Linked DNA regions of Saccharomyces cerevisiae S288C. Changing the gene in region 2 together with the main gene of any one other region gives a genetic interaction. Each region holds a gene or a part of one and is shown on either strand. Other genes may lie near its edges.

Region 1 (3,901 bases), on a different chromosome or scaffold from region 2:
TTGCTGCGGGAGGAGCTAACGAAAATGCGGTTATGCTTGTTATTACGTTAGGACCCCAGTATCTCGGGTTCTGGATCCTATCATTTGTCATTCTCAATATTGCACCTTCTTTCTTCCCATTAGCGCTAAACAATAATGTTTATAGATATGGGTACATGATGCCCGTTCACAACGTCATCGATATCTACAGGGTTATTTTTTTTGACGTGACAAGACGCAAGATGGGTCGGAATTATGGTATTTTAGTCGCACTCATTGCCTTGAATACGGCACTGTTACCATTTGTTGGCAAGTATGCTAGTAGAAAACTAAAACAGAAGGCTTTAGTGGCAGCAAAGCAGAGTTAATTTCGTAGATTATAATTAAGGCGACTTTTCAAATAAAAAAATACTGATCGTTGTTTTTTTTTAAATAAATGTTTATCCATTCAATGGACTATAATAAATATTTATATATATATATATATGAAAAGATTGCGAACAAAAAAGATGATGGAAAAGGAGAATCTCTATATATATATTCATCGATTGGGGCCTATAATGCATCAAGCATCTAAAACACAACCGTTGGAAGCGTTGGAAACCAACTTAGCATACTTGGATAGAGTACCTCTTGTGTAACGAGGTGGAGGTGCAACCCAACTTTGTTTACGTTGAGCCATTTCCTTATCAGAGACTAATAGGTCAATCTTGTTATTATCAGCATCAATGATAATCTCATCGCCGTCTCTGACCAACCCGATAGGACCACCTTCAGCGGCTTCGGGAACAATGTGGCCGATTAAGAACCCGTGAGAACCACCAGAGAATCTACCATCAGTCAACAATGCAACATCTTTACCCAAACCGTAACCCATCAGAGCAGAGGAAGGCTTTAGCATTTCAGGCATACCTGGTGCACCTCTTGGACCTTCATATCTGATAACAACAACGGTTTTTTCACCCTTCTTGATTTCACCTCTTTCCAAGGCTTCAATAAAGGCACCTTCCTCTTCGAACACACGTGCTCTACCCTTGAAGTAAGTACCTTCCTTACCGGTAATTTTACCCACAGCTCCACCTGGTGCCAATGAACCGTACAGAATTTGCAAGTGACCGTTGGCCTTGATTGGGTGGGAGAGTGGCTTAATAATCTCTTGTCCTTCAGGTAGGCTTGGTGCTTTCTTTGCACGTTCTGCCAAAGTGTCACCGGTAACAGTCATTGTGTTACCGTGCAACATGTTGTTTTCATATAGATACTTAATCACAGATTGGGTACCACCAACGTTAATCAAATCGGCCATGACGTATTTACCAGAAGGTTTGAAGTCACCGATCAATGGTGTAGTATCACTGATTCTTTGGAAATCATCTGGTGACAACTTGACACCCGCAGAGTGAGCAACAGCCACCAAATGCAAAACAGCATTAGTGGACCCACCGGTTGCAACGACATAAGTAATGGCGTTTTCAAAAGCCTCTTTTGTGAGGATATCACGAGGTAAAATACCCAATTCCATTGTCTTCTTGATGTATTCACCAATGTTGTCACACTCAGCTAACTTCTCCTTGGAAACGGCTGGGAAGGAAGAGGAGTTTGGAATGGTCAAACCTAGCACTTCAGCGGCAGAAGCCATTGTGTTGGCAGTATACATACCACCACAAGAACCAGGACCTGGGCATGCATGTTCCACAACATCTTCTCTTTCTTCTTCAGTGAATTGCTTGGAAATATATTCACCGTAGGATTGGAACGCAGAGACGATATCGATGTTTTTAGAGATCTTCGAAGAACCACATGTTGGATGACCGGGCAAGATAGTACCACCATATACCATGATGGAAGGTCTGTTATGTCTACCCATGGCCATCATGACACCGGGCATGTTTTTGTCACATGATGGGATGGCGATGTTAGCATCGTAGTGTTGTGCCATCATGATGGTTTCAAAGGAGTCTGCAATGATTTCTCTACTTTGTAACGAGTATCTCATACCTTTAGTACCCATAGAGATACCGTCTGAAACACCGATGGTGTTGAACTGCATAGCTTTCAAACCCGCTTTTTCAATGGATTGAGAACATCTGTTATTCAAGTCCAATAGATGCATGTTACATGGGTTACCGGACCACCAACAGGAACCAACCCCGACTTGAGGCTTCTTGAAATCTTCCTTCTTGAAACCGGTGGCATAAAGCATGGCCTGGGACGCACCTTGGCCCTTAGGTTCAGTGATGATATACGAGTACTTGTTGAGCTTCTTTGCAACGCATCTCGTTGTAGAGAATTGTCTAGATGTAGCAACTTTCGTTAACAAGCCCATCTCTACTTTTTTCTTGGCTGTTTACAAAAAAATACAAGAATCCGTTACTAAAGATTACAGGCGCTACAATGCATAATAAAACTTCAGTCTCTTCTTTTGTTACATTATATAATATACTACTATATTACTGAGTCATCTGGAGAGGAAAAGAGAAAATTTTTTTTCAGGCCCGGTTCCGCTCGCAGCGAAGAACAGCGCCATTTAACTATGTGACTAGTTAATTTTTTTTCTTTTCATGGGTTCAGCGAGGACGGAATGGATACAAGAGGGAATAAGAACATAAAAAGGTGAGGTGGAGAAGCAAATGCCAACCTAACCTACCCGCTTGATCACATGAACACCGCTTCCTGATTCAACGATATCGCTTACCTCGCCGACCTTGAGCTGGAAGGCAGCGTCTTCAAAGCTAGGCTGCATCTCGCCTCTCCCGAACCAGCCGAGGTCGCCGCCTCGCTTGTATGAAGAGCAATCTGATCTCTCTTTAGCCAGGGCCTCGAAGGAGTTCGTCTTAGAGTCGTCATCCAACCTCGTGATTAAGGTTTTCAGTTCGTCCGTAGCGTCTTGCTTGGATATCGTAATGTTCTCGGATCTATGCGATGCGGGTCTTCTTGAATCCTTGTGCTTGATGAGAATGTGCAGGCATCTTACACGCACTGGATGGTCTCTTAAGTGCTTGTGTAGCTGGTCCTTGTTGGTGCCCTCAGGCTCCTCCCATTGCGAGTGCTTCGTCTCTGGATTGAAAAAATACTCTCTTTTCTTGGACTTACTATACCTGACGGTCCACGGGGTTGGCAGCCCGGTCCTCGATGCTACGTCAGATGGCATTGGTGCGTCGTTGTGGTGCCGTAGTCGGTTATGCGTGGGAATAAGTACCACAATGATCATTCAGGTCCTTTTTCTACTTAGATCGAAGGGAAAAAGGTATGATACCCGCTCGTGAAAGGTGATGTAATAATAAATAGGATATTATTATATAATATAAGAATATATATGTATGTGTTTATACGTGGGAGGGAATTGTCCTCAGAACTTGGCTCGAATGTCTCGTTCTGACCCGTAGACAACGTAGCCCTCCTGAGAGACGCTTGCCATGATGCGTCCCGACTGTGTGTCGAAATACTTGCCCTGTACGAGGTGCTTGTCCCAGTGGGACCTGGGATTCGAAATCTTAAGATAGATCCAATTGTTCACATGAGGCAACTGGTGAAAGTAAATCGTGTGGTCGAGCGAGACACTGAAACTGTGGCAGTACAAAGGCAGGTTGTGGAAGTACGGGATCGTGAGTAGGAGGTAGGAATCGGACAGATACGCAAAGGCCACGTAGTTGTAGCGAGCGTCGTTCTCAGGAGTAATGCTCTTCGGGATCCTGTACGGATGATGCTTGTGTAAAGAAGACTCGTCGCCCGCGTGCTCCACGGTAGTGATGGGAGGTCTCACTTTGACGAAATAATCCAGCTCGTCGGTGTGTCTTGCCGAGTAGAACATGTCCTTGGGGAATTGGTACTCCATGACTCCGTATTGAAACGCATCCACATACTTGCTCATCGAGGTTGCGTCTTGGAACCTGTCGGACAATGAGGCATACCTGCTCAATTTCTG
Region 2 (3,611 bases):
CAAATAGATCTTTTACACTGTACAATAGTGTATATTCGTGGAGTACTTCGCCTTAATAGTTGCGTTCTCTGTAAATATTTTTGTATTGGTGCTTTTGTAGCTTGTCTTAACATATTTAACCTTGAAAGATTTTCACTCGCTTGTTTCAGGGTTCCTGGAATAGATAATAGAAGTCAAACTTTTCATGCTTACATATGCATATATATGTATATATATGTGTGTGCGTGAGTCAGTAACTAGGGGGTTTGATGAGCTTAGATACAATGAATCACAGGGGTTTATTCAAAAAAAAAAGTCCGTGCACCCCCTATTCAAACGCGATGCCATTAGATGAAAGAACACTTCTAGAACATTCTGGAAAATAACAAATTTTATCAGAACAGAATCACACCTTGATTTGTCTGTTACATTAATTATTAAAATTTATATGACCTATAAGGCCAAAGCAAAAAGTTGATCTTCCAGTACTAGAGATCAATATCTGCTCCCTATTTATTGTATTACGTGGCACTATCCGAGTGTCTCCCTACTATTTCCTCCAGGGATCTTATTTTTTTTTTTAGTTGCTCTATTTCATCTCGTTGTTCTTGTTCCTTTCTTTTAGTATTTTCAATATCCTCGATCATTCGTATATATTCAGCGTGGAAGCGTTTATTCTCAAGTTTTAGGTTTTCATTTTCATTTCTTGACATGTTGTGTTCATTTTTTATTATACTATTCTCATTCTTCAACATGTTGTTTTCGTTACATAAGACATCATACTCACTTCTTAACATAGTAATTGCATTCCTTATAGCTTCATGCTGAGCTATTAAAATGTTGTTGTCATTTCTTAATGAATCGTTTAATGATTTGAAGTTATTATTTTCTGCTAGTAAATCGTCAAATATCTTTGATTTTTGTTCGAGATTCTTGATGTATTTTTCTTTCCTTTGTCTAAATGCCTTTTGAGCGGTTCTATTTTGAGCAGCTCTTCTAGTATTTCTTAAAGTTTTGCCTGAACTACTTATGAGTTGGGTGTCTTTATCAGGAACAGGTTTGGTTACATTATCATTATTATCATTATTATCAGCTGAATTTTTAGCGGTATCAGCACTGTTTTGAAAAGAAGGAGGTGCAGTAGTAACACTGGTATTGCGAGATGGGAGGGTTGATAGTTGCTCCTCTGCAATATACTCCTTATTCAAAGATATGCTCTGGTTCGGAAGTCCATTTGGTAAAGGGGGATTTATTTGATAAGGTGCATAAGATATGGAATAACTTTTAGGGGGGAATACCACGGAAGGTTGAATACTAACATGAGCATTTTGAGGTCTGTTGTAAGAAGCTGATTGTTTTCTTTCATTTGAATGCGGAGGGATGATATAAGATGGATGTATAGGACTTTGATGCATCGATCTATAGTCAGACGGACCAGATAGATGCATCAAGTTTGGCAAAGGAGGCTGGATAGGATTGCTGTTAACAGATATGTCGGTGTCCCCATTAGTGGTTGTAGGATTTATTCTATAAGGTAACTTTTGGGACGTGCTGGGCTGTGCAATTTGCGGAGAAGGATGCTCATTTAGATTCTTCTCAGAGGCATTATAAGTAGCCATTGAGCTGCTTCCCTGATTATACATATCGGGACGAATCAACGGAGGGTTTTGCATTTGTCCCTTAGCACTCTTCGTTATTCTGTTGTTTATTGAAATTTCTAGACAAAAGTATATGCTATCGGATTCACGATTGGTGGGGAAAAAAACTCGGTGTTACAGTTTGAGGAAAGATTGTGTTTAATATTGGTTCTGTAGTACACTCCACAATCTCTCAACTCGCATTGCTTTCCAAAGATAGTCTACTCTCGATACTACAAGGCTCCACTAACTGTGTTAACAAAATAAACAAAAAAAGAGATTCTCCAGAAATTAAAAACTTGAGAATAAAAAAAGAAATCAAAAGGAAAAGAAGCAGGGCCAAGAAATACTTAATTAGCGTTTCAAATGCAGAAAAAAGTATGACAGAATGGAATCAAAGAGTATCAGAAATCATTAAAAAGTAATAGTTTACATTTGCCTGCAAACGATTCGAAAAACTTTTATCCACATGCAGTAAAAATAAGTGCAAGACTATGTTTAAAATTACAAAGAAAGCATAATCTTGAACAAAGTTTCTACCCTTCGGCATAATGCAAAGGGGCATTAGCTAAAAAAACAAAAACGGGTACGCTCTTTCTTAAATTCGCTATTACAATTCCGCAGATGCAGCAAGCAGCGAATAACTTTAACTTAAATGAAGTACGGAAAAAAAATTTAACATGCTATAAATCAGCCCATATAAACACCGCCTATCCCCCGCCGAAAAACTAGCCGGATCTATCTAAAGCGCCAAAAATCATTTCGCCGGAAACAAACCGAGAAAAAAATGCCTTTCTCGAAAGTAAACAAAGCAGTACAACTGTTTTGGGTGTTATTTTGTTCCGTGGATTTTACGCCACTGTTTTGCTTTAAAAAAATTTCTCACACAATAGTCTAGTCTCAACGGCTGTGCATAGTACCCATACACCACAATTTCTGACTAATGATCAGCATATACGTCACGTTCTGCTCATCGTGACTGTGGGAGAGCCAGTTCGTGCCAACCGTTATTTCTTGCGTACGCCAATTGTGTGATGCGCCTATCAAAAATAGAACCAGTTATCGTTTCTTTTCTTGGCTCATTGGCACCGTCGTTCCTGGAATTGGTTCCCCCGTTTAAAGAATGATCGAACGCCTGTCCAGCAAACGTCACTACTCCATTACTCTCCAGTTCCATGCCATTGAATAGATTCCAATCGTCTTCATCATGAAAAGAGTTCCAGTAGCGGTTGCTATTTTGTTCACTTGTCATTAATGCCTTACCTTGAGCGCTCTCGCGTACATTAGAATTCCTTTCCCCATCTTGGGGAGCTCTTCCCTCCTCCGCGTCGGTGCGAGTATTATCTTTCATAGCCATTGTAATATTTGCCACTTCGTCCGGAAGCGCCAGTATATCTTGATTCCATTCCGCATATAATATGTGATGTGGTGCTGGTAAATGGCGGTATTGAAAATATGAATCCCTATAAGAACTTGAACTCATAATCGTGGTTGTTATACTTTGCTCACCCCACTTCTCTGATATTATTCTCCCTTCTCTCACGATACAGCTAGGCCACGGCACAAATATGATGTAGTACTAAGATTTTTTTTTTTGAGGTTGCAATTCAGATTGTTGTCTTTTTCTACGACATGCATAGAAGTATATCATATGATATTTCGAACTTTGGGTGCTTTTCTACATAGTGCCTACGTTCTGAGTATCTATAATAATATAATGAAAAGTGTATATATAATTAGCACCATTAAACGCACCACACTGTTGCCGTTTACTTTAAAGAGAAGCGCAAAGAGCGGCAATGGTGATAGCGAGTGCGCATACGCTCGCTTTCCAGGTCAAACTCATATTTTTGATTGGTAATAGCTGCGAAGTTGTTAGTTTATTAGAAATTGCAGCATTCTTACTCTTCCTGGAAGTCGTAGTGGAGGACAAAACCGATGACGTTGTTCTTGGAAATGCCTGTGCTGATAAAGAGGATGAGAATTTTTCTTCGA

What was found. A genetic interaction does not mean that the proteins touch.
Region 1: mutations in YAP6 (region 2) and ILV3 together harm fitness more than expected from each alone (negative genetic interaction), as found in Saccharomyces cerevisiae (one large-scale study listed by BioGRID).

Annotation. Positions count from the first base shown.
Region 1 is NC_001142.9:463,907-467,807, forward strand, and holds ILV3 (dihydroxy-acid dehydratase ILV3), read right to left. Parts: upstream 2,303-3,901; coding exon 545-2,302; downstream 1-544. Other genes in the region: YJR015W (uncharacterized protein), read left to right, coding at 1-347; peptidylprolyl isomerase ESS1, read right to left, coding at 2,615-3,127; TES1 (palmitoyl-CoA hydrolase), read right to left, coding at 3,326-3,901. UniProt on the Saccharomyces cerevisiae protein: Dihydroxyacid dehydratase that catalyzes the third step in the common pathway leading to biosynthesis of branched-chain amino acids.
Region 2 is NC_001136.10:974,131-977,741, forward strand, and holds YAP6 (Yap6p), read right to left. Parts: upstream 1,653-3,611; coding exon 501-1,652; downstream 1-500. Other genes in the region: chaperone ATPase HSP78, read right to left, coding at 1-113; SWM1 (Swm1p), read right to left, coding at 2,587-3,099; EXG2 (glucan exo-1,3-beta-glucosidase), read right to left, coding at 3,391-3,611. UniProt on the Saccharomyces cerevisiae protein: Transcription activator involved in the regulation of genes expressed in response to environmental changes and metabolic requirements.